Linked DNA regions of Arabidopsis thaliana. The protein of the gene in region 2 interacts with the protein of the main gene of each other region in a pairwise test. Each region holds a gene or a part of one and is shown on either strand. Other genes may lie near its edges.

Region 1 (15,919 bases), on a different chromosome or scaffold from region 2:
AGATGGTCTATGGTCAAGCTGCGGTGACGAAAGGATCATAATCTTCACAACCAATTACAAAGAGAAACTCGACGCGGCCTTGCTGAGACCAGGACGTATGGATATGCACATCCACATGTCGTATTGCACACCAAGTACTTTCAAAGCTCTTGCTTTGAACTATCTTGAGATCAAAGAGCACCGCCTTTTCAGCAAGATCGAGGAAGGTATTGAGGCGACAGAGGTCACTCCAGCAGAAGTAGCTGAACAGCTTATGAGAAATGACTCTGTAGACAAGGTTCTTGAGGGTTTGATTGAGTTCTTGAAAGTCAAGAAGATCGAAAACGAACAAGATAAGGCCAAAACAGAGAAGCAAGAGTTGGAGAACAAGAAAAAGACCAAGGAGGGAACAGATTCCGTAGTCAAGAAAGAGGTTGATGAACAGCTAGTGAGGAATGACCGTGTTGATAAGGTTCTTGAGGGTTTGGTCGAGTTGTTAAAAGCCAAGAAGATCGAGGACGACCAAGATAAAGCCAAACATGAGGAGGTTGAACAACATTAACTTGTGAGATATCAATACCTAAATCATTAAATCGCCAGTTACTGTCTATAATCTACAGATTCATTTATAAACCTAGTCCTAAGATAAAATAATCTTAGAGAGATTGAGACCAAAAAAGGGAAAAAATTGAGGAGATCAGATAAAACACCTCTGCATCCGAGTGGTAGCTGTAAAGAGAAGAGCACGTGTATTTATACAAAACTATGCGTTTAGCTTGTTTTTTCTCTCTGTTTTTTTTCTAACTTTTTTTAGCACAATTTGTTTTAAGCTACTAAAAAAAAAGTTTGCCGACAAAAAAAAAAAGGTTAAATTTTAACTTTCCGAATCTTAATTTATGACAGTTGATTTTTTTTTATCTCACCGATAAAATAATATCTTCAAGCCACATTTGTGAAATTGAAAATCTCAATGATTCCGACAAAAAAGAAAATCTCAATGATTCCTTCCTTGTATCGAGAAAAGGAATTGACACTAATTAAGTGGGCCAAAATTTTGGCACCACTACACAATTCGTTTAGTCAATACTATTATTAAATGGGCCGTACATGTTTTAATTTTCTTCCTTTCTTTGTAGATGTATAATTGATCTTCTTCCTTTTCCTCAATTTCTATTTTTCCTTAAAATTGGGCTTTTAAATGTCATTTCCTTTTCGAGTTATTTCCTTTTTCGTGTTTATATTTATTTTTGTCTTTGACTCCTAATCCTAGATGCTTTTTTTTTTTCGTCAGTCCTAGATGCTTTACAAATAAATAAAGAAAAATATTTGAATGAACTTTATATTAACTTCTTTTATTTTACCTAATTAAAATCGGACACCTAATAACAATAATAGAAAGTTAATTATAAAATCTAATTTGCCACTAAAACAAAATTATGTATCGGTTTGGGTTTATTAGAAAAAATTAGGGTTTAGATTTTATGATTAAACGAGGTTAAATATCAGTTTGGGTTTAGAAAGTACGATTAGAGTTTAGATTTTCTGATTAAATGGGTTAAATATTGGTTTAGTTTTATAAACAGATTTAGATTTTACAATTAAACGAGGTTAAATGTCGGTTTGGGTTTAGAAAATACGATTAAAGTTTAGTTTTCTTACGATTAAATGAGTTTAAATAGCGGTTTGGATTTATAAAGGAAAATTAGAGTTTAGATTTTGTAATTAAACGAGATTTTATATCGGTTTGGATTATAATTATAGCTTTAATTTATTATGTAATTTAAATAGGATTTATAACATATTTTTATTGGTTAATGCAAAAAAAGGTGAATAAAAGAGAAGAAAACGCCCAAGCTCTTCACTCTCGACACAGATTACTGGTACTCATCAGACCCATGGACCTCTGTTACTCTTAACCATCCTTCTACCTTCAAGACGCTAGCTTAGAAGAAATATCGTTTTGCATGTTTTTCTCTTTAGTTTTGTTTTATCGAACGAGATTTTTTCTACCATAATTTTTTTATATAGCATAATTATACTTTGAAAATTATTATAACTAAACCTTGGTATTAGTCTAATATCTTACATTAGTTCCTCCGGTTCATAAAAAAATATTTTCTAGATTTTGTTTCATAATGTTTTATTTTTTAGATTCTATATTAGTTAATATCATTAAGTCAAATGAGAGATATTTGAATTACTATTGGGTAAGCACTATAGTAATTTAAACACAAGCATAGTTAAATCAACAAAGAAAAAAATCAAACAAAGGATGCAGAAACATATATGAACTTGAAAAAACCCAATTATTAGATATTTTGTAAAGAATCATCAAAAATAAAACAATCTTCTTAGAAATATTTTCCAAAATGTTGTCTCGAAGAACATCTATTAAAATTGGAACGATACATAAAAGATTAGTATAGTCCGCATAAGACACGCATAAATCGAAATATAATCCAAATTATTTTCAACAAAGAAAAAATTACTTTTCAAGAAAGTAAATATTTTGCTAACATGTCATTCTAACATTAAAACTACTATTACAATTTTCAAGTATAAAAGACAAGTCAGCATATATGTTAAGGAGCAAAGACTTTGCATTTTTGCAGCGAGCCAGCGACCAGACTCTAGAAGTCTGTAGGGGCTATCAAGTTTTCATTTTTAACGATACTTTATCAAATGGGCCGTAATCTTGGCCCACTATAGACCATTCATTTAGTGTTCCATCACCATTTAAATAGTAATCTTTCATTCCCTAATTATCTCAATCTTATGATCAGAGGTATTCGTGAAAATTTATTATTGATCGCAGAAGCCTTTCATCAAATAAAAGAGAAGAACTGGTATCAAATTTTCTCCTTAACCTTAACATTTTTTTTTTTTTACTTGTTAAGATTCCAATTTGTGTGCTCATCGTAAAATTATCAAAAGAATAGCATCGTTTGTTTAACCTAATCAGATTTATCCCCACGTAACCTAGTAACAAATACAGTACTATTGTTCTATAATCAGATTTTTTTTTGGATTAGTTTCTTGTCTCTTTGATTTATGAGAACCGACTTGAATGTATTTATTTTATTTTTGATGATTGAAGGAGATGAGTTCCTCTAGTGAATCTCATCTAGCCACCGCCAAAACAGCTCTCACAGCGGTTGCATCAGTTGCTGCAGCCGCAATACTAGCTCGATCAGTGGTTCAAGATTACATGCCAAACGAGGTTCATGAATATATCTCTCACGGCTTTCGCAGATTCTTCAGCTACTTCTCTTATCAGATGACAGCTGTAATAGAAGAATTTGGAGGTTTTGAACACAACCAAGTGTTTGAAGCTGCAGAGGCTTATCTCTCCACCAAGATATCTAATTCCACTAGAAGAATCAAAGTTAACAAACTTGAGAAACAGAGCAATTATAGTGTTACTGTTGAACGTGATGAGGAAGTTGTTGATATTTTTGATGGCGTCAAGCTTAGTTGGATCCTTGTATGTCGCCATGTCGATAAAAAGGATTTTCGTAACCCGAGAGATCTCAACTCCACTTTGAAATCAGAAGTGCGTAGTTACGAGCTTAGTTTCCGAAAGAAGTTCAAGAACATGGTTCTTGAATCTTATTTACCGTTTGTTGTGGAACAAGCTGCTTCTATTAAACAAAAGTTTAAAACATTGAAGATCTTCACCGTTGATTCTTACTCCGTGGAGTGGACCTCTGTGACTCTAGATCATCCTTCCACGTTTCGCACTCTCGCTCTGGATCCCGAGGTGAAGAAAAACTTGGTGGAGGATCTTGATCGATTCGTGCAGCGGAAAGGCTTTTACGGGAGAGTTGGAAAAGCTTGGAAGAGAGGTTATTTGTTGTATGGTCCTCCCGGTACTGGAAAATCAAGCTTGATCGCAGCTATAGCTAATCATCTTAACTTCGATATCTATGACTTAGACTTGACATCACTTAACAACAATGCTGAGCTACGGAGGTTACTTATGTCTACTGCAAATCGTTCCATTCTAGTTGTGGAAGATATAGATTGTTCAATCGAGTTAAAAGATCGGTCTACTGATCAAGAAAACAACGATCCGTTACATAAAACGGTGATGCATTTTGATTCACTATCAGTTATGTTGTTATGTGATCTTTTGCTTATTAGCATTACTAATGTTTTGGTTAGTCATTTTCAGGTCACACTCTCTGGTCTATTGAATTTTGTAGACGGACTATGGTCAAGTTGTGGTAACGAGCGGATTATAGTGTTTACGACTAACTACAGAGAAAAATTGGATCCAGCATTGTTGAGGCCAGGACGTATGGACATGCACATTCACATGTCGTATTGCACACCAGCTGCTTTTAAGGTTTTGGCTTCGAATTATCTCGAGATTCAAGATCATATACTTTTCGAGCAGATTGAAGAATTTATCCGAGAAATTGAAGTTACACCAGCAGAAGTAGCTGAACAACTGATGAGGAGTGACTCTGTGGATAAAGTACTCCAAGGACTTGTTGAGTTCTTAAAAGCCAAGAAGCAAATAGATAATTCAAAAGCTTAGAAGAAATTTAGTTCTTTTATTTGTTTCTTTGTTAAACACTATCATGCAATTATTGGTTATAAAATGTTACAGAAAGTGAAATCATTTTTTTTTTTCCTAAGTGAAATGCGGATATTGTTTTATGAGGTCAGAACATGTCTAAACTCAATGATAAGATTCTAAAGTAGATTGAGACAAGTTTCGTAGTCGGCAGCAGTAACCAAGAAAACGAGTAAGGTTGACTCTTGACTTGTTAAACCATTGACTTCAATTTCGATAAAGTCTCTATGTAAGCTCATTTTTCTGAAACAAGTTTTGCTAAAAAAATCCAAAGATCTGAAGCTTCAGATCCTTCTCGGCTAAGGCTAAGTCACAACCTTGTAAGTTTACTTTACTTTGGTTAGATTTGTTTCAATGTTCTAGGATTCTACATGTTTCTTGAGAAGATATGGATTAGTTAAAGAATAATCCAATCTTTTGGTTATTGAGATTCTATAGTCGTTGGTTGATTGATTTTTGGAAAGTTCAATCTAGTGATGATACACATAACCGATTGAATTATTGCTTGGTTATAGTTTACCAATTAGAGATATTTCTTGAAGTTGCAGGGTCTGAGTAAATGGTGGACGCTGTTGTAACAGTGTTTTTAGAGAAAACCTTGAACATCCTCGAAGAAAAAGGCCGAACCGTATCGGACTACCGAAAACAGTTGGAAGATTTGCAAAGCGAATTGAAATATATGCAGTCTTTTCTCAAGGATGCAGAGAGGCAGAAGAGAACTAATGAAACGTTGCGTACTCTTGTTGCGGATTTACGAGAACTGGTTTACGAAGCTGAGGATATACTTGTGGATTGTCAGCTCGCGGATGGTGATGATGGGAACGAGCAAAGGTCATCAAATGCGTGGCTTTCGCGGCTTCATCCTGCCCGGGTTCCGTTGCAGTACAAGAAAAGCAAACGTTTGCAAGAGATCAATGAGAGGATAACGAAAATAAAGAGTCAAGTAGAGCCTTATTTCGAATTCATAACGCCGAGTAATGTTGGAAGAGATAATGGAACTGATCGGTGGAGCTCTCCGGTGTATGATCATACTCAGGTGGTTGGTTTGGAAGGAGATAAAAGAAAAATCAAGGAGTGGCTCTTTCGATCAAACGACAGCCAGCTTTTGATAATGGCCTTTGTTGGGATGGGAGGGCTAGGTAAAACTACAATCGCTCAAGAAGTGTTCAATGACAAAGAGATCGAACATCGTTTCGAAAGAAGGATATGGGTGTCTGTGTCCCAGACTTTTACTGAAGAACAGATCATGAGAAGCATATTGAGGAACTTGGGGGACGCGAGTGTTGGAGATGATATTGGAACATTGCTGAGAAAAATCCAGCAGTATCTTTTGGGGAAAAGGTACTTGATAGTTATGGACGATGTATGGGACAAGAATTTGAGCTGGTGGGACAAGATCTACCAAGGACTGCCTAGAGGACAAGGAGGTAGCGTTATCGTGACCACAAGGTCGGAATCTGTAGCGAAAAGGGTGCAAGCGAGAGACGACAAGACTCACCGTCCAGAGCTCCTTAGTCCTGATAACAGTTGGCTGCTGTTTTGTAATGTGGCATTTGCAGCAAATGACGGTACTTGTGAGCGTCCCGAGCTAGAGGATGTTGGCAAGGAGATTGTAACGAAATGCAAAGGTTTGCCTTTGACAATCAAAGCGGTTGGTGGGTTACTTCTGTGCAAAGACCATGTCTATCATGAATGGAGACGAATTGCAGAGCATTTTCAGGATGAGCTAAGAGGAAACACTTCTGAAACTGACAATGTTATGTCTTCTCTGCAGTTGAGCTACGATGAACTCCCTTCCCACCTTAAGTCGTGCATTCTCACGCTTTCGCTCTATCCAGAAGACTGTGTTATACCAAAACAACAACTAGTACATGGATGGATCGGAGAAGGTTTTGTCATGTGGAGAAACGGAAGATCTGCAACTGAATCTGGAGAAGACTGCTTTTCCGGGCTCACAAACAGGTGTCTAATAGAAGTTGTAGACAAAACCTATAGCGGAACCATCATCACTTGCAAGATTCATGACATGGTTCGTGATTTGGTGATCGATATAGCCAAGAAGGATTCGTTCTCTAACCCGGAAGGCCTCAACTGTCGTCACCTTGGGATTAGTGGAAACTTTGATGAGAAGCAGATCAAAGTTAACCATAAGCTGAGAGGCGTAGTGTCAACAACTAAGACAGGTGAAGTGAACAAGCTCAACTCAGACTTAGCTAAGAAATTCACAGACTGCAAATATCTTCGGGTTCTCGATATCTCGAAATCCATATTTGATGCTCCTCTGTCTGAGATTTTGGATGAGATTGCAAGCCTTCAACACTTAGCATGTCTTAGTTTGAGCAACACACATCCGTTGATCCAGTTTCCTCGTTCCATGGAAGATCTCCACAACCTTCAGATTCTAGACGCAAGCTACTGTCAGAATCTGAAACAACTTCAACCTTGCATCGTCTTGTTCAAGAAACTCCTTGTACTTGACATGACGAACTGTGGATCCCTTGAATGCTTCCCCAAGGGTATCGGAAGTCTCGTGAAGCTCGAAGTTCTGTTGGGATTTAAGCCAGCCAGGTCCAACAATGGGTGCAAGCTCAGTGAAGTGAAAAATCTCACAAACCTTCGGAAACTTGGTCTTTCTCTGACTCGTGGCGATCAGATAGAAGAGGAGGAGCTTGATTCTTTGATAAACCTAAGCAAGCTGATGTCCATTTCGATCAACTGCTATGATAGCTACGGCGATGATCTCATAACCAAAATAGACGCCCTTACTCCTCCACACCAGCTCCATGAGCTTTCTCTACAATTCTATCCTGGAAAGTCGAGTCCATCGTGGTTGAGTCCTCACAAGCTTCCGATGTTGAGGTACATGTCAATATGTTCAGGTAATTTGGTGAAAATGCAGGAACCATTCTGGGGAAACGAGAATACTCACTGGAGAATTGAAGGTTTAATGTTAAGTTCATTGTCGGACCTAGACATGGACTGGGAAGTGCTGCAACAGTCAATGCCGTACCTGAGGACCGTGACCGCAAACTGGTGTCCAGAGCTAGAGTCTTTCGCGATTGAAGATGTTGGCTTTAGAGGCGGAGTGTGGATGAAAACACCATTGCACAGAACCTGATGAAACGTTTTAAGCAACTAGATCAATGTTTATTAAACAGTGACAATAAGTTGGTGTATTACATATACCTTGATACAATGTAATGTTGCTTTGACCGTTTGGATTTCATATCGCAATTTTCTTTTCTAATAATCATATAACAAACGAGCAAAAAGGGAAAACAGAGACTAGCAGCAATGGCAGATCTTTGATGTCAACTGCTTGATCAGTCAGAATCAGAGTCCAGATTCTCTGAAGACCTAACAGACCTCCGTATGCTCTCTTGATATTCGGCGTCTTCATCATCTTCCTCTTTCTTCTTCTTGCTGAGCATTCCTGTTAAAGATTTGCACTCTTTAAGCAAAAATTCTCTAACTGGGCCGTTATAATAAAAAAAAGGTGGGACCGAGGTTCTTCATACCCTTTTTAAGAAGAACGTTCTCTAGTTTATTCGTTGTGAAATCGTCCTTGGTTCCCAGATCCTGGAACCCAACTAGCCTATCCATCGCAACTCCCTTGCTAAGAATGGTAAAGAAACTCGTACTTTATGAGTATACACCTAACAACAAACCCTGTATGTAAGAAGGAATAGAAAGAGGCGAAACCTGAAAAGCACAACGCAAGGCAAAGTCTTTATTGCAAGCTTCGTGACAAAGAAAGGAGCATTCTGCATTTATTTCAGCCAAGCATTAGCTTCAGCAAAGGATTGTTGAAAAGCCATTTCCTCTTATAAAACTTTCATCAAATGGTTCACTAACCTCTGCGTCCACTTTAATGAACTTTGTGTCCACATGTCTAGGTGCAAGAGTTTTCAGATGCTTGTCCATAATCCTACAGTAATGCAGTAAATATGTTTGGTTATGAGCTCATATACATATCAGAAGACGAACAAAAAATAAGCTGATGAGAGATCTTACTTGCACCGGTAAAATTCCTTATGGTAGAAATGACATATCACTTTCTCACTCCTGGTGACTTCACCCAAGAAATCTCCTTCACTCACCTCTCGATATTCACCATGCCCTTGTCTTTTAAACGATTCTCTCTTCTCAACCTCTCTCTGTCAAGATAAAATCTTGAAGATTTTAGTTCATACCAAAAGCTGCATAACTATATAGGCCACAATACAATGCCAAAGTTATAACCTTTAGTGCTGCAATCCTATCTGCGTGCAATCTTTCTAGCTCTGGATCCTACAGAACATAGACAAATAAGTCTACCATAGAGACCTACGCTTAACAGTCACAACAAGCAACATTGCACTTACATCCATAAGTTCATCAAGATCAACCTCTTCATTAACAGGATTTGATCCTTGCGCCTTCTCATTTGCAAGAACTTCCTACAAAACCCATATAAAGAACTCATCAAAACCATACAAGTAAGTCCTCACAGGTAATCTACTCAGACAAAGAAACATCAAAAAAACTCATAAAGTCTATCACTATTTCAAAAACAAATTGAGAAACATTCTTTACCTTTTGATAATTTCTTGCAGCAGCCGCCATTACATTTCCAAATGCTAGATTCGAGAGAGTCGATTTGACTGCATCTGGATCCATCTTTTAACACCAAAAATCTGAAACAACAGCATGAAAAAAGCATTAGGATTCAGAGATAAATGAGAGCTAAAGCTTCAAAATCATACCTTTTTCAATTCCTTCCTGATGCGAAGAAGAAAAATAAAAAAACACAGCTTGAGAAATCGAAATCAAAGCTTTTTTCCTTTCTTTACTAACAATTTCAAAAAATCAAAAGATGAACAACAAAGGTGGAAGAAACATACCAAACGACATCGTTTTTTAGTTTAGTAAAAGATATGCATTATTGGGCCTTTCATATCTAAAGGCCCACAGGCCCATATAAGTTAAAATTACGTCGGTCGCTAACCACTACTACACCGACGTCTTACTTGCCATGTGTGTGTGACTCTTAATCAATTACGAATTGAATATATTACTTTTACGATGTCGGCCAACACGTATTGAGTAAAATATCTATGTGATGATGAATTCCTATCCAAAATGAAATTTGCATCTCTATAAAAGTATCATTCAAGAGATCATTAATCTTCATCGATCAAAGTCTTGAATATTTCATCTATATATACCTAAGAAAGAAAAGAGTTAAAGAAGTATATTTTCGATTCAAAGAAGAAAAATGAATTCTCACCAGAATCAAACCGGAGTGCAAAAGAAGGGAATAACGGAGAAAATCATGGAGAAGCTACCAGGTCATCATGGACCTACTAACACTGGTGTTGTTCACCACGAGAAGAAAGGGATGACGGAGAAAGTTATGGAGCAGCTGCCAGGTCATCATGGTGCTACTGGTACCGGTGGTGTTCACCACGAGAAGAAAGGAATGACGGAAAAAGTTATGGAGCAGCTGCCAGGTCATCATGGATCACACCAAACTGGAACCAACACAACTTATGGTACTACTAACACTGGTGGTGTTCACCACGAGAAAAAAAGTGTGACCGAAAAAGTTATGGAGAAACTACCAGGTCATCATGGGTCACATCAAACTGGGACTAACACGGCTTATGGTACTAACACTAATGTCGTTCACCATGAGAAAAAAGGTATAGCAGAAAAGATTAAAGAGCAACTGCCAGGTCATCATGGAACTCACAAAACTGGAACCACCACAAGTTATGGTAATACTGGCGTTGTTCACCATGAAAATAAAAGTACGATGGATAAGATTAAAGAGAAGCTTCCCGGTGGTCATCACTAGATTGATTAACAACTTGTTTAAGCTTATTTTAAGTATTTGTGTGGTGTAATAATATGATGATGTGGCTTTCTTTCATTGAGTCGCTAAATAATATATGTAAGTGATGGATCTTTGAATTAATATAAAATATCTACTTCTGGTTTCGTTTATTTATCTTTCTATCGCTTCAACTATTCCATGTTATTAAAATACTTGTGAGTTGTGACACATACAACCACGTATAATTCACATGTAATTATTTGGTAATTCAATTCTTTACAAGTTTATATGTTCTTTTGCATACAAGTTATCAGGGAAACGACCGCAGTTGTTTGGCAATGTATATTACTCAGGTTTTCAATTCAGGCCCATACGGCCCAAATAAGTTGTTTTTACGGATATCGAGTTAAAAGAGGTGTGTCGATTATAACGGACATGTGTCACACTAACCACAAAACCAACGTCTTACGTAATCGCCACGTGTGTCACTTCAACGCAATTTGATAATAATCATAATACTATATGTGATTATGATCCCTATCCAAAGTTGCGGTTCTATAAAAATACCATTCAAGAGCGTATACATCTTTATCCATCAGTGTCTTAATTTTGTCTATAGCTAAAAAAAGGTTCAATTGTAAAAGGAATATGGAGTCTTACCAAAACCAGTCCGGAGCGCAGCAGACTCACCAACAGCTTGACCAATTTGGAAATCCATTTCCAGCCACCACCGGAGCCTATGGAACTGCCGGTGGAGCTCCAGCCGTGGCTGAAGGTGGTGGTTTAAGTGGCATGCTTCACCGTTCTGGGAGTAGCTCTAGCTCTAGCTCGGTATGCTTCTGTTTTACGCAATTGCTTTTGCAATATTTAGTGTACTCTTTCTATATCACCAAATACAAGAAGTTTCATTTAATTTGACTTCACCTAACTAGAAAAAATCAGGAAACCATATTTTAGATTTAACTCTACATATTTTTTATAAACCATTTTTTGTGTTCAAATGATAAGTTTTTGTTTGTAATTTGAATTATATTCAAGGTATACCATATATTTAAAATTACTAAATAAAATATGGAAAGTGTTGCAAATACATATAGCTTTTTAATTTTTCTGACGATTTTCATGCATGAAGGAGGATGATGGACTAGGTGGAAGGAGGAGGAAGAAGAAGGGAATAACGGAGAAGATTAAAGAGAAGCTGCCGGGTCATCACGACTCCAACAAGACTTCTTCTTTAGGTTCTACAACGACGGCCTATGATACCGGCACCGTTCACCACGAGAAGAAAGGCATGATGGAGAAGATCAAAGAGAAGCTTCCGGGTGGTCATCATTAGTTTCATTTTAATTAACTTGTTTGGTGTGGGTCGTTACGCTTATGGTCGTTGCATGGAATAAATTATAAACCCTCTCTTTTTCGTAACATTTATGGCTCAGGCTCTATTGTTTTGAGTGATACAAATTAAGGTAATGTTAGCACACGGGTGGGTTCACGATTCTAATCGACATCTTCCCATTTAAAATAACAAAGGGATTTTGACGTTTTCTATTCCCAACACAAAGGAAGACAAAAGAAGGAGTGAAAATCGGTAACTATATATAGATGTAACGAATCTTATATCCAAACCAACACTCACAATTAATGTATCCCCCCATCCAACAAATTAAAAGCCACGTTGACGTGACAAATCATACTTGGTGACGCCTTCCTCTATAAATTATCCAACCATGCATTCATCGTCATTCCCACAATAATCGCTGAGAGTCCAAATGAATACAAAAACGGTGAAGTCAATGGCGGGCATTGTTCTCTCTCAAATCTCACTTGTTGCGCTGTTTCCTCTATGTATTTGTTATCAAACACATCAAAGCACGAGCTCTGTAGCCTCTCTATCCCCTCAGTTTTACGAGAACTCGTGCCCAAACGCACAAGCCATCGTTCAATCTTACGTCGCCAATGCATACTTCAATGACCCTCGCATGGCTGCCTCAATTCTTAGGCTCCATTTCCACGACTGTTTCGTCAATGTTTGACAAAATCTAGTCTATTCTTCAGATATATAATGTTTTGATTTAAATAAGGAGAAATGTTGTTTGATATATATATACTCTGGTTGGTGCAGGGATGTGATGCTTCCGTACTATTGGACAGTAGTGGAACCATGGAAAGCGAGAAACGATCAAATGCAAATCGAGACTCTGCTCGAGGGTTCGAAGTCATTGACGAGATCAAGTCTGCCTTGGAAAATGAATGTCCTGAAACAGTTTCTTGCGCCGATCTATTGGCTCTCGTTGCTAGAGACTCTATTGTTATTGTAAGTCAATTCTCTAACACAATCATTAGGATTGATATATAATTGATACAAACACTCGTTACTTTTGTAATTATCTACAGTGTGGTGGACCTAGTTGGGAAGTATATCTTGGAAGAAGAGATGCAAGAGAAGCAAGCTTGATTGGTTCCATGGAAAACATTCCTTCTCCCGAGTCCACGTTACAAACAATTCTCACTATGTTCAACTTTCAAGGACTTGATCTCACCGATCTTGTTGCCCTCTTAGGTATATATACTACACTCGTCCAAGATATTAATGTGGTTGAATTTAAAGGGGTCTTAAAGCAATTGTGATTTTATGGAAGAAACTAATTAAAAGTATAAATAAATGTTAATAACGATGTTTGTGATTGGATAAGAAAAGTTATCTTATCTCTCTATTAAAGATTAAATGCCCTAAAAACTAACACATTGATAAATTTAATTATCATTTCTAAATTGAACTAATAACCATGATTCAAATGTAGGGAGTCACACGATAGGAAACTCAAGGTGTATTGGTTTCCGACAAAGGTTATACAACCATACTGGAAACAACGATCCCGACCAGACTTTGAATCAAGACTACGCCTCTATGTTGCAGCAGGGATGTCCGATTTCGGGCAACGACCAGAACCTCTTTAATCTTGACTATGTGACGCCGACTAAGTTTGACAATTACTACTACAAGAATCTTGTGAACTTTAGAGGACTCTTGAGTTCTGATGAGATATTGTTCACGCAAAGCATAGAGACTATGGAGATGGTCAAGTATTACGCGGAGAATGAGGGAGCGTTCTTTGAGCAGTTTGCGAAGTCGATGGTGAAGATGGGGAACATCTCACCGTTGACGGGGACGGATGGTGAGATCCGGAGGATATGCCGGAGGGTTAACCATGATGTTTGAGAGAGTTTCCATTATTGGATAGTTAAAAGTCCTAAGCGTTTGGTTAACGACTTAACGTTAATCTTTTTTTTTTTTTGTTAAATTTGATTTCTGTTGCCATTGTGTTTAATTTATTTTTATTTGTTCTAATTAATTTATGAGTTTGGTGATTGTATGGTATACCAAAACGTCAAAAACATAACGATTTTTATGGCAACTGAAATTGCTAATGAATTTGGAATGTGATGTGCCTATACTCAACAATACAAATTTTGACGTGACAACTCCATTAGGTGAAATATCTTTCTCGAAATTATGGATGTAACTTAAACATCTAAACTAGAAGTATCGGAATGTTTTTAAGAGGCCCTAGAAACATAAGGAGTGATGTTGTAAAGGAGTTTTGTTTTGTTGTTAGAAAATTTCAAAGTGGAAGTGAGACACATGAACAAATTTGTCGCACTTTTACAAGTTGTGTTCTGGAGTAAACTTTACACTCTTGGCTTTTGTTCAAAGAAGCACATAAAAAAGCTTTAGACCTTTCTTTACTTTAAGAACCATTATTATTGCCGAGATCACACTCGGGTTTCGTTCTTGAATACACATTATTAGTAGTTTAATTAAGACTAGAGCATCATGGTTCTTCTATAAGGCCACAGAGAACGGTATGATTTTACTCTGTTTTGCTTAACTTGTTTAAGAAAGAGAGAATCTCTTGAGAGACTTGTTCAGACTTCTCCTGCTGGATAAAATGATGACCACCTTCAATAACAACTATCTCAAGATTAGGCACAACAATCTTGAACACCTCTCCTTTCACATACTCCATTGTTCCATTAGGTCCTTCATATCCGATATCTTTGTCTCCCGCTATAAACTTAGTAGGAACGACGATTTTGGAGTCTTGCCACGGCGCCAATATCTCCCAATTCCTGTCACATTGCACATTTTCAATACTTGTTTTTGTAACAACAAAGACTGGAGATAAAGTGAGAGAGGGAAGTGAACAACTTACATATCCATGGATCTGTAGTAATTCAAAGGGCCAGTGAATCCAGATCTTTGAAACTTTTCCGCATACACTTGAATCTCTTCTTCTGTTATCCAATCTGGAATCGTCGACGGTATCTCAAGATGATCTATGATCTCTGTGTCAGGAGGAGCCACTAAGTAGTCTGTTCTTGTTATTAGCAAGAACTTCTTCATTACCGATAAACAATCATGCTTGGCAAATGCAGCCTCAGCTCTTCCGGGTTTCTTGTAAAAAACAGAACCGAGAAATCGAATCAACGACAACAATGAGTACCATAATAGTAACACTAACATCATAAATCTTGAAAGTAAATTTGGGTTTTACCTGAAACTGAGTGATGTATAAACCATCTCCAAAAATTTTGAAAAAATCTGAAGGTTTGAGTTTTGGATCTCTTGGGAAATATGGAACAGAGAGACTTATGAAACCTTTGACTCGGTCTGGTCTAAACAAGCATAGACACCAACCTATGATTGCTCCCCAGTCATGCCCAGCCACAAAAGCCTACCACAGTAAAAATGTAAACTTTCTTCTCCACAAATCTATCTATCTAAATCTAAACGCTGGATTCTCAAGAAGATCATTTTTCACCTGAGTAGTGCCGTAGTGATCGAGTAAACCGATGACATCAGCGACTAGGTGACTCACAGTGTAAGACTCGTGGCTCGGTAGAGAATCGGAGTCACCGTAGCCTCTGAGATCTGGAGCGACCACGTGGTAACCATGGCTAGACAAGAAATCGATCTGGTGACGCCAAGAGTACCATGTCTCAGGGAAACCATGGAGTAACAGAACCAAAGGCCCTTCTTCGTCTCCTTTCTCAGCAACGTTTAACCAAATCCCGTTGGTCTTGATCTTCTTCTCTCTAACAGAGCTCGTCATGATTCTTGTTGGTGATAGTTGTGAGAGAGAGGAGGAAAATCAGCGACCAAGGTGAAGACTTTATCACAAGAGTTGAGAAATGGATGCACACATGACGTGGCGGAATATGAAATCAGGCCTCTAGTTAGATTACACGTGGCGGTAACTGGTCCTGATTCAGTTTCATGGGTTGCCGTAAGTAAAAGAATGTCAGCCAAATTCATGAAACAAGAAACACATGACTGGATATAAAGAACACAAACGTCAAGTAACTCTCAGTTCTTCAGACAACATAGCGAGTTAACTCTCAAGAGAACATGCCAAACACAACAAAGAAGAGTAATTCTCTAACTCAAGACAAGAAAAGAGATTGTCATTTAGGATTATTTCTATGTTTGATCTCAAGAAGACATTGATTTCTTCTTCTCTTCTTCCAGCTGTTGAAGC
Region 2 (16,048 bases):
CAACAGTATTTCCAGAATCAAGATTACGATAAGAAATACGGATTCCTTGAAAACATCGATTCCTTCACAATCCCTAAAGGTTTATCTGAAGAAACGATTCGCTTGATATCGAAGTTGAAAAAGGAACCAGCTTGGATTCTTGAGTATAGGCTCAAAGCTTATGCTAAGTTTCTAAAATTAGAAGAACCTAAATGGTCAGATAATAGGTACCCTTTGCTTGATCTCCAAGATATGTGTTTTTACTCTGCTCCTAAAAAGAAACCAACTTTGAATAGTTCAGATATAGCTGATGAAGCTGATGATCCTAAGCTTCTTGAGGAATTTGATAGATTAGATGTTCCTTTAACAAAGAAGAAGAAATGTTCACCTAAAGTTGCGGTTGATGCGGTTTATAATAGTGAATCGATAGCTATTACTAATAAGGAGCCTCTAGAGAAGTCAGGTGTGATCTTCTGTTCGATATCCGAAGCTATAAGGAAGTATCCGGATTTGATCAAGAAGTATTTAGGAAGAGTTGTGCCTAGTGATGATAACTACTACGCGGCTTTGAATACCGCGGTTTTCAGCGATGGATCGTTCTGTTATATACCGAAAAACACTAGATGTCCGATGCCTCTTTCGAGTTATTTTCGGATGAATTCTATTGAAAACACTGGTCAGTTTGAAAGAACTTTGATTGTTGCTGAGGAAGGTAGTTTTGTTGAGTATTCAGAAGGATGCACTGCTATTTCTCATGACAAGAATCAGCTTCACGCTGCTGTTGTTGAGCTCTATTGCGCTGAAGGAGCGGAGATTAAGTACTCGACGGTGCAGAATTGATATGCAGGGGATGAACAAGGTAAAGGTGGGATTTACAATTTCGTCACAAAGCGTGGTCTCTGCGCTGGTGATCGTTCCAAGATCTCATGGACTCAAGTTGAGAAAGGGTTCGCGATAACTTGGAAGTATCCAAGCGTGGTTTTAGAAGGAGATGATTCCGTTGGAGAGTTTTAATCCGTATCATTGACTAATAACTACCAGCAAGCTGATACATGGACCAATCCAGAGCTGAGAACGCTAGAAATACTTCGACTTGTGACTCGATGCTTATTGGTGACAATGCAGCCGCTAATACATATCCTTACATACAGGTACTTTGTATATGATCATCTAACCTTTTATTATAAGGTTATGATAAAAGCACCTCTAATGAAGATCTTATAACAGGTAAAGAATCCATCGGCGAGAATAGAGCATGAAGCAAGTACTTCAAAGATTGGAGAAGATCAGATTTTCTATTTTCAACAGAGAGGTATCGATCATGAGAGAGCATTAGCGGCAATGATCTCTGGATTTTGCAGAGATGTTTTCAACAAGTTGCCTAATGAATTTGGAGCCGAAGTTAACCAGCTTTTGAGCATTAAGCTTGAAGGATCAGTGGGTTAAACAAATCTCACAATTACTTAACATTAAAGAAAGCTTTACTTGTGCCCAACAAACTGCTAACAATTTTAGGCTTTCAATAATTAATTTTGGCTTGAGAAAACTGATATATAAACACTTGAGAAAAAGCATATTCTCGATCAGAAAAGAGTCTCACGAATAATCAAAGATGCTACTGTTCTCTAATGCCGGAATATCAATGACCAAGCACCTACCACAGTGATGACCTTTTAAGTTCAAAGAGTTAATTCAAAAACAACCAAGAAAGCATGAACCAACATTTTGGAACATAAATAGTCTATGAAAAAGTGAACAAGCTTTCGAACATTTTTTAAAAGTAACTCAAAACAACACGACTTGAAATATACCCATATCATCAAAATCAGGCTTCAACTTCGGATTTCTTATCCTCTACAGCTACATTAGTAGAGGAAACCCCATTAGTCTCTGCTCCTGCATCAGTGTTCTCCTCAGGTGGCTGAACCTGTTCATCTTCAGGGAGTGGCTCCTCCACATAATCATTGTCAAATGCATCAGCCGGAACTTCGTAAATCCTAACTTGAGGCTTCGATGGATCCTTCACTAGAACATACTTTCCTTCACTTAACTTCATACACAGATCAACAATCGACTTCACAATTCCCCACATATTGTTAGTGTTCAGATTGATCTGCCCAGCGAAATCTTTCGGCTTATACCCCAAAACCGATAATATAACATGGTTAAAATGATCACGAGGATGAACCCTCGAAACAAACCCAATCTTCATCATATCCGCATTAGCCAAGAGAGCCTGCGCAGTCCATTTAGCTAACTTATTACCATTGTTCTTCAACTCATTAGCTAAAACCGCACCTCTCTGAGTCTCAAGCTTCTGTCTCCAATCAACACCAGAGTACTTAGGATCAAACTCGTTAAGAGCATTCAAAGTTAAAAACGATCTCTGGTTATTCAAATCAACAGTGCTCTGTAACTCACACCTAGCAACTAGATACATACTATCATCAAGCTTCCATCTCCTATACCTATAAGCAATAGAAGCATTCTCTTCACCTTCATTAACATTAGGAATTGGCTCATCAAAAGTTTCCCTTTTCCCATTCTTAACCAAAACCTGCTGAGCAAAATTCTGATTAATATAAGCAGCCTCCAGACCTAGAGAATGAGCAGAGTTAATATCATCTTTACCCTCAGGCAAAGGCTCTTGAGAAGTCTCATGAACAGATAACAAATCAAGCGGTGACCCATCTCTCTTATCAAAGAAAAGCTTATTCCCAACACGTTGAATCACAAGATCCCATGAATAAACCGATCTAGGAGCACACATAAGAGCAGCTAGAATAGCATCAGTAGCAAAAACAGTAGCTTTATCTTCTTTAGCAAGACGTCTGATCACAAGATCATCACTTGTAGTAACCTTAAAGCTTCTGTTCTTGAAACGCTCAAGTCTACGATCAGCTTTAGGAGTAATACGATCAAAACTCCGATCATAAGACTCAAGTCCACCACAAAGAAGAAGATCTTCAGGTTCAGAAACTGTAAACGAAAGCTTAGAGAAAGTCGAAAACGGAATCTGCTCAAGCATATTCCATTCCGGTTGAATATCAACTGATGATTTAAACGCGGCGGCTTCACGGCGTTGCTGATGAATATTGTTACGATTGTTATTGTAGAGACGATCACGACGAGCTCGATCTTTCTCAGCTTCACGTTTCTTAGCTTCAACTTCTTCATCACGACGTTGAGGAAGCTGATTTCGGTTATGGTATTGATTGAATCTCCATTTAGGTCCGAATTTAGGACGCGGCGGTGGTTTTCCGTCGACTAATCGGAAAGCGGCGTCTTCGTCGGCGTTTCCACCTGAGTTTGTTAGACCAAATCCTTCATCTACTGCAAAAGCTGAGAAATCGAAGATCGCTGATGGATCTGATTTGGATCCGGTGTGAGGACGAGCTGATGGATTTGAGAGAGCTCGAGTCCAATCAGCAACGCGTCCGAGTTTTTCGGATCGTGAGAAGGAAGCGAAGGGGACGTTTGGGAGGAGATTCGCCGCCGCGACGCTGGTGGAGGAAGTGTCGGAAGCATCTGGTGGTCCCCAACCATCGGAATTGAATGGGACTGTGCCGACTTCGAATGCTTCAAACACCATTGTTGAGATTTGCGAAGAAGATGTGCGCAAGTGAAAAATTTGTATTTTATTTTGTCAACAATGAAAACCCTAGCCCTTAATGGGCCTCAATGGGCTTTTCTCTTGTCATAAGAAACTCTAGCCCTTTTAAGCCCATTATTATCTCACTCAGTCAAAAGGACGTCGGTTTAAGCTAACCAATGCTTTTGGTTTGGGCTATATTCTCTCAATCGAAATTTTGGGTTATATTCAACCGTACATTTATTAAGGAATTAAGAAACCGGCTTAGAACCGGTTCATGATCTGTTAACCAATAACTGAACGTTGCACTTCAATTCAAAAGTTTACGAATTTGTACTCGTCGCAAAACTTATTTTATTTAGATCCTTGTTTTTATATCCATGTCTCACTTCTTTCCCCTAAGTTTTTCATTGGTTACTTAAGGTCCAACTATATAAAGACTTTTTTACTCTCTTCTCTTCTTCAGAGAAAATTCAAAAAGAATCTCCAATTTTCTCGGGAAAATTTCTCCATTAGTCTCTTCTCTTTTCCGGCTTGGAATCGCTTTGCTTCTTAATCTTTAACAAACACGTTCCATAGAACCCCAAAAATTTGATCATCGGAAACATTTTCTCGGGGAAGTAAAGAAGATTTTCCCGAGAAAAGAAGATTCTCACTATGCGGCGTCGTGAGAGCCGTGGTGCTAAGGGAGGAGGTTTCTTGACTCCACCACCGTCATGGCACACGACGAGAAGAGTTTACATTGCGATGCCGATTTCGGAGAGGAAAAGATCACCTTTGATCGAGAATCAAGAATCGTTTAGGGTTCGTACTGGTGATTCTCCTTACGTCAGAGCCAAACATGCTCAGGTAATATCAATATAGGGTTTTTAGTGAATTGTATTGGTTTATGTGTATGAACGTTTGTTCTTGACATGGAATTGTTTTCAATAACAGTTGGTTTCTAAAGACCCGAATCGAGCTATCTCGTTGTTTTGGGCGGCGATTAATGCTGGAGATAGAGTTGATAGTGCATTGAAGGACATGGTAGTTGTTTTAAAACAGTTGAACCGATTCGATGAAGGAATCGAAGCTATCAAGTCTTTTCGATATCTCTGCCCTTTTGAATCTCAAGATTCTATTGATAACTTGTTACTTGAACTCTACATGGTAAAACTTTCTCAGTATGACTAATTGTGAAGCTATTTCTATGCTCAGTATGTGATTTTGATGGATTTTGGTTTTGCAGAAGTCTGGGAGGATTACAGAGGTCGCTGAGCTGCTTGAACACAAACTGAGAACACTTGAACAAGACAAACATTATGGTGGCAGGATCAAAATAGCGAAAAGAAGCCATGAGGAGCAGAATAACAAGACAATCGAGCAAGAGAAAGCACGGCAAGACAATCTCCCATCTCCGCTTTATACCTGAAAGAGTAGTTTCTCTGACTTTCTTGGTGTTTGGATATGTAGGATTCTAGGGAACTTAGCTTGGGTTCACTTACAGCTTCATAACTATGGAATTGCAGAGCAGTATTACAGGTTTGTGAAACACCATCAATCCCATTAAGAATGTTAGTTTTATCATTGCCTTAACAAGTGAAATGGGTTTTACTGTGATAGGAATGCTTTGTCTTTGGAACCTGACAATAACAAGTTGTGCAATCTTGCAATCTGTTTGATACGTATGGAAAGAACCCATGAAGCTAAATCTCTGCTTGAGGATGTAAAACAGTCTCTAGGGAATCAATGGAAGAATGAACCGTTTTGCAAGTCTTTTGAACGGGCTACTGAGATGTTAGCAGAAAGAGAACAAGCAACAGTAGCGGATAAACCAGAAGATTTGCTGACAAGTAGCTTTTCAGATAACTTCTCTTCGAGATGTTCAGGTGGGATGAAAGGAAAGAAGGCTCTAGCTGGAACTAGCACTGAACTGGGTAATATTCACAAGACAAACTCGCATGCTTCCTCTGAATCGGTTGAACAAAACTCACCAGGTCTGACTACACAACCCCGGGAATGTAAATGGGTAGATGAGGAAGTAGATCAGAGTAAATGGGATGCGACAATTGGTGCTTCTCGAAAGCTCAGGTTCTGGACAGTTGGTCCTGTTCGTAGTCTAAGATTCGGTAATGATTATCAGAAGAACTTGAAGAGTGTAGGAACAGCAGCCTCGACTACTAATGACGAACTGCATCAATTCATCAGTAGTGATGCAGATTGCATGACAAGCAAAGCAAGGAAGCTGTGTCCAGAATTGATCAAAGATAAGGAAGATAACGAAAAAGAAAGTGAAAGAATTGCTTCAGAATCTTCTTCAGCTTACGCTAAGATCACAGACATTGGTCAAAGAAAGGTTCTTCACATTGATCAAAGAAAGGTTCGTCACATTGGTCAAAGAAGTGTTTAGGCTAGACATTGCTACACTAATTGATGTATAGATTGAACAAATGCAGAAATGAATTTTTGGACCAGTGTTATAGAGTTGCTTGAAACTGAAATTTATTTTTCGTGTATGGCTTTATCTCCTGAAATGAAAGCTCCGAGCGAAATGCAACACAAAACTTAAGAGAACAAAAGCAATATTTTTTTCACCGACAAAAACAATAAGCAATACACGCAAAAGTTTAACAAATCCAGAACCGATATAGGGTTTCAATAACAAAAACGAACACACATGAACGAAACAATAAAAGAGATATTACGAAGAAAAAAATTCAGGATAAGGGGAAAGAAGAAAGTGAATGCTGCTTGCTTACACAGCTTACGAATCCGAGGGAGCCATTGACAACATCTTAAGTCTCGTACTCCTCTTCTTCCTCCTCGTACTCTTCCTCTCCGGCTGTAGCATCTTGGTACTGCTGGTACTCTGCGACAAGATCATTCATGTTACTCTCTGCTTCAGTGAACTCCATCTCGTCCATGCCTTCTCCTGTGTACCAATGAAGGAAAGCCTTTCTCCTGAACATAGCTGTGAACTGTTCGCTCACACGCCTAAACATCTCCTGGATTGAGGTTGAGTTACCAATGAAAGTAGACGCCATTTTCAAACCCTTTGGTGCAATATCACAGACACTGGACTTGACGTTGTTTGGGATCCATTCCACAAAGTAGGATGAGTTCTTGTTCTGAATGTTCATCATCTGCTCGTCAACCTCTTTGGTGCTCAGCTTTCCACGGAACACAGCGGATGCAGTCAAGTAACGTCCATGACGAGGGTCAGCAGCACACATCATGTTCTTTGCATCCCACATCTGCTGGGTCAGTTCAGGAACACTCAAGGCACTGTATTGCTGTGATCCTCTCGATGTCAATGGTGCGAAACCAACCATGAAGAAGTGAAGCCTTGGGAATGGGATAAGGTTCACAGCGAGTTTCCTAAGGTCAGAGTTAAGCTGGCCAGGGAAACGAAGACAGCAAGTGACACCACTCATTGTAGCAGAGATGAGATGGTTAAGATCACCAACTAATGAAAACACAAAATACACAAAAACAAGTCAGGACTCAATCACACTACATGAATACACAAGCTGCAAATGGAGAAATGTACTCACAGGTAGGATTAGCGAGCTTGAGGGTACGGAAACAGATATCGTAGAGAGCCTCATTGTCCAAAACCATACACTCGTCAGCGTTTTCGACAAGCTGATGCACAGAGAGAGTTGCATTGTATGGCTCAACAACAGTGTCAGAGACCTTAGGAGAAGGAAACACTGAGAAAGTCATCATCATACGATCTGGATACTCTTCTCTTATCTTAGAAATCAATAGAGTTCCCATTCCAGATCCAGTTCCTCCTCCCAATGAATGACACACTTGGAAACCTAAATCCAAACAACAAAAACCATACACATCACAAAATGTACATAATCAACAAAGACCTAAATCGATTGTAATCATTCTCGTTCCACGATTCAAAAACTCAGATCCAGATTCAAAAAAATTGTTCCTAACCTTGAAGACAATCGCTGTTCTCAGCTTCCTTCCTCACAACATCGAGAACAGAATCAATCAACTCAGCACCTTCGGTGTAATGACCTTTCGCCCAGTTATTTCCGGCACCAGATTGACCAAAGACGAAGTTATCAGGACGGAAAATCTGACCGAACGGACCAGATCTGAGAGAATCCATGGTACCAGGCTCCAGATCCATAAGAACAGCGCGAGGAACGTACTTTCCACCGCTAGCTTCGTTGAAATAGACATCGATACGTTCAAGCTGTAACGGAGAATCGCCGACGTATTGACCGGTGTGATCAATGCCGTGTTCGTCGCAGATCACTTCCCAGAACTTTGCTCCGATCTGGTTTCCACATTGACCGCCTTGGATATGAAGGATCTCTCTCATTTTTTTTTTTTTTGGTTTCTTCGTCAAGAGCAAAAAAAAAATGAGAAGAAAATGGGCGACTCTTTTTTTTTTTTCTTGTCCTTGGCTTTGAATAGGTTTAAAAAGAGGGATTTGTTGAATAGGTAATAATCAGCTATATATAGTTTACGTCTTCTTCAATAAGTTTTCTAAAATAGTTATTTTCAAATTGGTCCTTATAGTTTGTTTTATCTTGTACATTGTAACATGATAGTTTTAGATAATTTGTTTTTGTACTCTGCGCTGTATGACAGCGGAGGATTTCAAAATATATCTGTACTGTCCCACTTGTCTTGAAGATATTTTTACTATTTAAGTTTATTTTTAATAACAAGAATAGAATAATCATATTCGGTAATAGTACAAAGAAAATTAGTTTTTTTTGCCGTTTATAGAAATTATAACATAATGACAAATTACATTATTTTTGAAAATTGAAAATTTATTGAAGGGAGAGATTCATTCTAGTTAATTTGAATAGTATTCGACTCAGGATCTGCTAAACCGGTTTTGGATACAACGATTATGCATAATTAAACAAGTTTTGACTACAGAGATCATATAGTTGGGCCCTCTCGATAGTTGAAAAAGGCCCATTACTTTTAGTATAGCAAAACAAATATTATGAAGCGTCTCTAAATGATCTAATACACACATTAAAATTTTCAAAATGTTTTATCACACTCTCCTTCACTGATTTGTTCTCAGGGGCGGTCCCTACTAAGGCCGGAACAAACATAAGTTGGGACCTCTCAATAATTTAAAAAGGCCCATCATTTTCAGCAAGAATGATCTAAATTAATTAAGAGTTAAGACCTACATCTTCCTCTTCCGCCTCCAACTTTTTAGTGTTCTTTTTTCTTCTGAAGCCCTAGTTTCTCTAGTTTTACTCTACAACGAACGAGTCTCTAGGGTTTAAACTTTTAGTGTATCCACTATGGAAATTCACTGCAAAAAAACGTCTTTGAGAATCATCTAACCGTTACCTTACGCGACACGCGACCAAAGAGCTTAGAGAATAAAAAAGAAAACTCATTACATATTCCAATTGATCTCATTATCGAGATATTCTCGAAGTTGCCATTTAAGTCTATAGCTACATGTCGATGTGTATCGAAGCATTGGGCATCCATACTTCGTCCTCCAGATTTGGCTCGCCCGCAGCTATTGTTTGCCTACGTAAAAGACAAGAAGTTGCTCTTTTTCTCGTCACCTCAACCTCAGAATCCGAATGAGAAGTTGCCTCCTCTTGTCGCCAGTTATCATATGAGTTTTCGTCCTCTTGATATGTATAACTATAAAATTTGTAATCATGTCAATAGTTTGATCCTTCTAAAGAATAGAAGGAAGGAAAAGAAGGAAGTGGTGCAGGTGATATGTAACCCTAGCACAGGACATTCGTAAGCTTACCCAAAGTGGAAACGAGTAGTGATTGGATGATAAGCTATTTAGGGTATGATCCTGTTGAGAAACAATACAAGGTATTGACATGGTTTGATGGTTTTGAAGAGTATCAAGTTCTCACATTAGGAATTGGAGAACCGTCATGGAGAAACATCAAATGCTGCAGACCCCATTTACATTATCCTTTGTATAAAGGGATATGCATTAACGGTGTTTTGTATTACGTAGGTACAGTCACTGGGTTGTTAAAGGATTTCATGGTCGTTTGCTTTGATGTTAAGTATGAGAACTTCAGATTCGTTGAAGAAGGTTTGGAAACCTTCATTAGAAAGGTTATGGAACCCTAATAAACTACAATGGTAAATTAGCTACAGTTATGTCCAATACGTCGTCTATATTTATTTATAGATCAAGTGAGAGTATTGAATTTTGGGTTCTAGAAGATGTCGATAAGCAAGAATGGTCAAAGCATATACATGTGTATTGCCAGCTTTGGGGCATAATGTGATAGGGGATGCTTACTTACGCCTTGTTGGAGTGACTCAGAGAAATGAAATTGTGTTGGCGACGTGCTATGCTGTGCCTTTCTACCTCTTCTACTACAATATGGAGAGAAAGACAATCATAAGACTTCAAATCCAAGGAATGGAAGTTTTTCCTTAAAAAATAGTTAATATCTTTCTAAACCATATAGAGGACGTGAAGCTTTGGTAAGTGATGTAATTAGGACTTGAGATTTTTGTAATAAAACTAGTTTGGCTCTAGGTTGGATCATATTTAATTATTTCTAATGATTTCTTAAGCTCTTATTAATGATGTGCGCTTGAGACTTTTTCTTTACACTATATAAGAGTGATACAAGAATTCAATCAGCGAAGGAGGTGAAACAATAGACTTGAATATTTGATACAATGATTGAGTATGGTGAAGATCATACTATATATAAAGATCCCAACATGGAGTGATCACTGGTGATGTACCTCATGCATGTGTTATATATAACTGTCATTAATTAATTGATAGAGGTAAATTTTTCTGCATCTCTTTTTGTTTTGTTTTCTATTTATAATAAGGAAATTGGAACCACTACTAGTTCCTACAAGCATGGAAGCAAAGTGCATTACATGGAGTTAAGGGAAATAAACGTGAATGACTCTTTGTTCCAATTGGTTCTCGGTGATTTGCAGAAGCAAAATAAGAAATAATAATTGGTTAATTCTATTTCTTATATATTAGTACAGTTTGGTCGTTGGTTTAGCACTTGACCAATTGTTGACTCATCATTAATCTTGTTGGATAATTGTTTCACCTAATTTACTCTTTTACTGTGAGCAATGGTTGTTCTAATAAGTTAAGATTTGAGATACCACACACATAGAACCTCTTTAGAACTAGCCATATTAATTGCTGGTATGAGAGGTGGATATGTTGATGATGATGCGTGCTGTTAGATGCCGAATCCAAAAAAAATATAGTAAATAATTGCAGTTTGTAACTAATTATTAAACAAAATTGACAATTGTTTAAACGTGATAAATCCAATGCTTGGTTTTAAAACATTTTGGTGCTGGAAAATTGTGTTTAAGAAAAACTTATCCTACTTACAATTTGCAAATTATAACTAGCTAGTTTTGATATCGACCTTTATCGAATAATCTAAACTTTGTAAAATAAATGGCTTACAGGTTCATGCCAACCCATAAAAATTGCTTATAATAGATTCCATTTAAATGAGATCAAAGTCACTAATTTAGATTTCTATATACTCTTAATATTCTAAATTAAATCATTTAAAAATAAATTAATAGATCTTTAACGTACTCCTTTAAACTTCTAAAAGATTTTTCCAAAATTTTCAAACATATAAAGTAACAAAAAAGCTAAATTTCCTTTTATAATCAAATTTTTAATCGGTTTTAACTTTAAAACTTTAAAATAATTAATTTATATTTCTCTCTTTCCGTTTTCTCGACAATTACTCATCATTTAGCTCGTGTTTTAAAAAACAACACTAAACAAAAACAAAGTGATCTCTCACCTTCACTTTCTGCGCTCCTTCTTCTTCACTCCTATATATTTAAAATGCTTCGACCTTTGTCACTCAGAAACTTCATCAATCTCTCTTCCAACAAAAACCCTAACCCTAATTCTCTCAAGACAACTCAAAGGTCTCTCCTTTTTTAGGTTTATTATCACTTCCGTATAATCGCCATGTCTTCTCTACCATGGAAAAAACCAAAATCGAGTCGAATCTTAAGATTCATTTCTGAGTTTCAACAATCACCGTTCGTTGAAACTGGCTTTCCAACTTCTCTGATCGATCTCTTCTTCAAGAATCGCGATCGTCTAAAAAAATCTCCATCTAAACGCTTCCAACGAATCGAACGCCAGATTCGAACCGCTCCAAACGCTTCTTCGTTGAGTAATCAAGATACGATTTTTGAAAAGCCCTCGAGGATTAAAACCGTTCGAAGTAAGGTCGAGAAAGTTAATTGCGTTAAAGGTAAATCAGCGGCGTTGAAGAAGAACGCGATTAAAAATAGCGTTTTCGGCGGTAGCGGTGAGGTCGTTTTGATGGCGTTTAAGGTTTTGATAGTAGCGTTGCTCGCCTTGAGCACGAAGAAGAAGCTCACTTTAGGAATCACTCTCTCTGCCTTCGCTCTTCTCTTAACAGAGCTCGTGGCGGCGCGTGTTTTCACGCGCTCTAATAACACCGACAAAGACAAAAACGCGATTGCCCGCGAGAAAATCGAAACTTTTGATGAAACTCGAGTTCCCAAAGCGATTCCATGTCCTGAGGAAACAGAGCATGTAGTATCTGAAACAGAGGTTTCGAAGTTGAAAGGTTTAACGATACGTGATCTGTTGTCAAAGGACGAGAAATCAACAAGTAAAAGTTGGAGACTAAAATCGAAGATTGTGAAGAAGTTGAGGAGTTACAATAAGAAGGATAAGAAGACGATGAAGATCAAAGAAGAGTCTTTGATTGAAGTCTCGAGTTTGGTTTTAGAAGATAAACCAAAGAAAATTGAGTCTGAGAGAGACGAAGAAGAAACGTTGAATCCTCCAGTGGTTGGATCAAACCTGAATGGGATTGTTCTGATCGTGATTGTGCTAACCGGTTTGTTATGTGGGAAGGTCTTAGCTATTGTTCTGACACTATCATGTTTGGTTCTTAGATTAGGAGCAGTCAAAAAAGTTAATCTTTGCATATAATTTTTTTTGTATTTTTTAACATGCTTGCATGTGAAACTGTAAATTTTTCTCATTCATATGAAGGAGATTGGATTGAATGTTGAATACTTTCCCAAATTATTCACAATCTTAAGTTTTAACGAAATGAAATAAAGAATATTAGTAATAATTTAAACACAAACCGAAATATATTTTTGCTTTTGGCGTTTTCATTTATACTTTTACAAAAGTATTATCTTTTGAACAACTAAAACTATTTTATGTTTATAAAGTATGATTTACTTTTCTTAAAAAGTGTTTTTCTTTTTTCATATAAGAGCAGAAATTGCTATTGAAACAAATCAAAGTTTGTAATGAATGATCTAGAGGTTAGTGCTAGTTTCGATGGATTTGAGCTAGATGTTTCTAATCTAATGTTTAGGAATCTTTTCCACTTGTTTTGTATATAACTCTCTTTTTGGTGATTAATTAAGTTAACATTTCATTTTTGAAAAAAGTTTGGTGAAAGTGTTGTTTTGGAATATATATTAACACCAAAAGAAATTGTTAGGTAACGTATTAGTATTATTTCAGAAGTGCTTGTAGTAGGTAAGTGAAAGACGATTAGGTTTCACTCAGCTAAATAGCAGTGGAATGTGAAAATAGTGATGGTAGGTTTTGTAGCAATATTAATTAAAAGACATGGCAATTATTAACGAACAAAAAGTAACCAATTAGGTTCCTGTCAGCCAATTAGCCAATAAAACGGTTAAGTTAAGCCTAGTTAACTTGTGTTAAAAAGTTTGGAGATCTCACTTTGATTGGAGATCAAGACCAAATTGTTAGTGTTGTGCTAATTGTAAAGTTGTAATGATTATGTCAAATGTGATTTGGTAAGAGATGGGTTTGCTAGTTGTGATAAAATACATAATTTGGGAAATAGCAAATTAACCAATCAAAATCTGAGTACTACACTTGAAATGGTTTTTCTTTTTTTAATTATTATACTTTTGAAGGTTTAATTTTTTTTTTTTGTTTTGTTATGTATCTATACTTTTAATCGCGATTCGTGAAATTCTAAAAGAATAGTATAACTAAGAAAGTGTAATCTATTCAAAATAATTTTTAATTTCTAACGCTTACAAATAAAATATAGTAGATTGTTGAATCATCTTTATAAGAAACATGAAAACATAAGATGATTGTTGTGAATAATAATAGACAAAGAAATCAAATCAAGCTTTTGGAAAAGGTGAATATATATTTACTGTAAAGCTTGATTAATAAAACAATGAAATACGACTAAGAAAGGTGTCGGACAAAGAGAGTGTCTTTGGTTTTTGATTCGATAGATCTTTTACCTAATTCAAAATTAACTTAGTGGCAAAGCCTCCATTGTTGGGTTTTTCTTATTTTATTGTTACATACTTTTGTTTTCTTTTTTGGGAGAATTACTGTAATAGAGTATAAATTAGGTGTTATTATCAGACAGAACTTTTTTTTAATCCTGTTATATTTTCGTCCTTTTCTTATTACCCATCGTGCTCTTACTAAACGTTACCGGAAAAAATGTAATTACAAGGAATGTCACTGCTACGTCAGAAATTGCTGACGTGGATTAAATGAACTCAGCCGTAACGCGATATAGCGGCAGTCACGGCTGAGTTACGGTATGTTGCGGCTGACTTACGACAAAAATATATGAGTCATACCAAAACGACGAAGTATGAGTATAACTCAGCCAGACGTTACGGCTGATATATAAAATGTTGTCTGAGTTATACGATAACTCAGACAACGGTATGACTGAGTTAAGGAATGTTGTCCGAGTTATAACAAACTTATAGCATAACCCAGACAATGTTATGGCTGAGTTATGAGAAAACGGCTGACTTATTTCCTCGACACGGCTGAGTTATATTTTTGGACGGCTTAGTTATAGGATGATGTGACGGCTGAGTTATGATCGAGTGTTATAAATCAGCCGTAAAGAGCATGATTACTAAATAACTCAGCCTTGTGACGACTGACTTATGTGCAAAAGATTAATTACTATAATAGCATGCAGTTACGGCTGAGTTTTTAAACGTTACGGCTGAGTTAGTTGAGTTATGACATAACACGGCTGACTTAACTTTGTTTTTTTCCTGTTTTTAATTACTGTAATAGTATTCATGTTGCGACTGACTTATAGATTTGTTTGATGGCTGAGTTATCAAATGTTCGTTTGGTGGCTTAGTTGTCACCCCATCAATTCAAAACGACATCGGCTGTAATATTCCATGTCATCATTCCATGTCAGCATCATCAAAGGGCAAAAAAATAAAACCAAATTTTTTCAACTCGTCTTCTTCACCTGAGTTTTTCACATCACTGGAACTTCTAATTCCTCATCGTTTTCCTCATTTTTCTTCAATTTCTTACATCCTTCTCCCGATATAGTTGATCCGGTTCCGGTAATTGTTGTTTTTAGGAATTGGGTATAAAAACACAAATATATATTTAACACCGATGAAAGAGGGTGTAGACTTGTGCAGATAGATGCGGAAACAACACACGACAAACTTGTGAAGTTGGTGCTCGATGAAAAAGTTAGATGAAATGCTGCATCTCTTATTGTTTCGCGACAAATTTACATGTCACGGCTGAGTTATATGCTTAAGGGAAGACGAAAGGTTCAGTCAATTTACATGTCACGACTGAGTTATATGTTCCAGAAAAGACGAAAGATTCGATAAAATTACATTACAACAGAGTTATATGCTTAAGGGAGAACGAAAGATTCAGTCAATTTACATGTCACGGCTGAATTATATGTTCCAGGGAAGACGAAAAGTTCGGTAAAATTACATTACGGGTGAGTTATATGTTCAAGGGCAAACGAAAGATGAGTGTATATTATATGTTACGGCTCAGTTATATGCTTCAGGGAAGACGAAATGTTTGATAAATTACATGTCATGGCTGAGTTATCATTCAGGGAAGACGAAAGGTTGTGTAAATTATGTTACGGCTGAGTTACATCAAATTATGGTTCAGTTACATTACGTTACGGCTGAGTTACATCACTTTACGGCTGATTTATAATATAGATTGGAAAACAACATTTTTCTGGGGAAGACAATATAAAATTTATTGGCCAAATAACAACAATCAAATTAAGAAACGTAAGAATATGTTTGAGGGATACATAGGAGGAAGACGAAACCGTATGAATCAAAACGTTGATAGAAGTAGAAATATCTCTAAATAGATCGATTGAGAGAAAAATTAAACGAGAGACATATAAAATCAAAGTAAAAGAGTAGCTATTCTTGATTCAACTTAAACCTGCAACGAATCATACAAAATTCCATACATCTCTTTGATTTGGGTTTTGATTTTTGATGACTTGAAATTCGACACCACCGAAGGAGTTTCGGCCGGAAGAAACGAGATAAGTAGAGAACGGCGACGAAATTAGGTTCCGTCGACTGAACAAGAGAAGAGAGTGACGTTTTTTTTTTTTTTTTTTTTTTTGCGCGGATGAACAGTGAAATATGCTGAAAAAATGA

What was found.
Region 1: the proteins of TUB4 (region 2) and PLP3a interact in a two-hybrid assay, tested with the Arabidopsis thaliana proteins (one study listed by BioGRID).

Annotation. Positions count from the first base shown.
Region 1 is NC_003074.8:18,931,007-18,946,925, forward strand, and holds PLP3a (thioredoxin domain PLP3A-like protein), read right to left. Parts: upstream 9,423-15,919; 5' UTR 9,307-9,422; exon of another isoform or gene 9,238-9,306; 5' UTR 9,221-9,237; coding exon 9,137-9,220; intron 9,001-9,136; coding exon 8,926-9,000; intron 8,852-8,925; coding exon 8,804-8,851; intron 8,719-8,803; coding exon 8,576-8,718; intron 8,490-8,575; coding exon 8,417-8,489; intron 8,326-8,416; coding exon 8,264-8,325; intron 8,178-8,263; coding exon 8,080-8,177; intron 7,995-8,079; coding exon 7,885-7,994; 3' UTR 7,691-7,884; downstream 1-7,690. Other genes in the region: BCS1 (cytochrome BC1 synthesi), read left to right, coding at 1-541; AT3G50940 (P-loop containing nucleoside triphosphate hydrolases superfamily protein), read left to right, coding at 3,080-4,066, 4,154-4,522; ZAR1 (HOPZ-ACTIVATED RESISTANCE 1), read left to right, coding at 5,121-7,679; LTI30 (dehydrin family protein), read left to right, coding at 9,819-10,400; XERO1 (dehydrin xero 1), read left to right, coding at 11,028-11,210, 11,512-11,715; AT3G50990 (Peroxidase superfamily protein), read left to right, coding at 12,149-12,406, 12,502-12,693, 12,774-12,939, 13,181-13,599; AT3G51000 (alpha/beta-Hydrolases superfamily protein), read right to left, coding at 14,252-14,510, 14,594-14,835, 14,936-15,115, 15,203-15,493; AT3G51010 (protein translocase subunit), read right to left, coding at 15,874-15,919. UniProt on the Arabidopsis thaliana protein: Tubulin-binding protein involved in microtubule formation.
Region 2 is NC_003076.8:17,853,097-17,869,144, forward strand, and holds TUB4 (tubulin beta chain 4), read right to left. Parts: upstream 8,055-16,048; 5' UTR 7,899-8,054; coding exon 7,505-7,898; intron 7,375-7,504; coding exon 7,105-7,374; intron 7,017-7,104; coding exon 6,346-7,016; 3' UTR 6,040-6,345; downstream 1-6,039. Other genes in the region: ABCI9 (Stabilizer of iron transporter SufD superfamily protein), read left to right, coding at 1-807, 871-986, 1,046-1,130, 1,207-1,425; AT5G44320 (Eukaryotic translation initiation factor 3 subunit 7 (eIF-3)), read right to left, coding at 1,805-3,571; AT5G44330 (Tetratricopeptide repeat (TPR)-like superfamily protein), read left to right, coding at 4,229-4,420, 4,508-4,720, 4,800-4,948, 5,024-5,092, 5,174-5,960; AT5G44345 (F-box associated ubiquitination effector family protein), read left to right, coding at 9,017-9,124, 9,263-9,287, 9,369-9,629, 9,832-9,983; AT5G44350 (ethylene-responsive nuclear protein-like protein), read left to right, coding at 11,532-12,536. UniProt on the Arabidopsis thaliana protein: Tubulin is the major constituent of microtubules, a cylinder consisting of laterally associated linear protofilaments composed of alpha- and beta-tubulin heterodimers.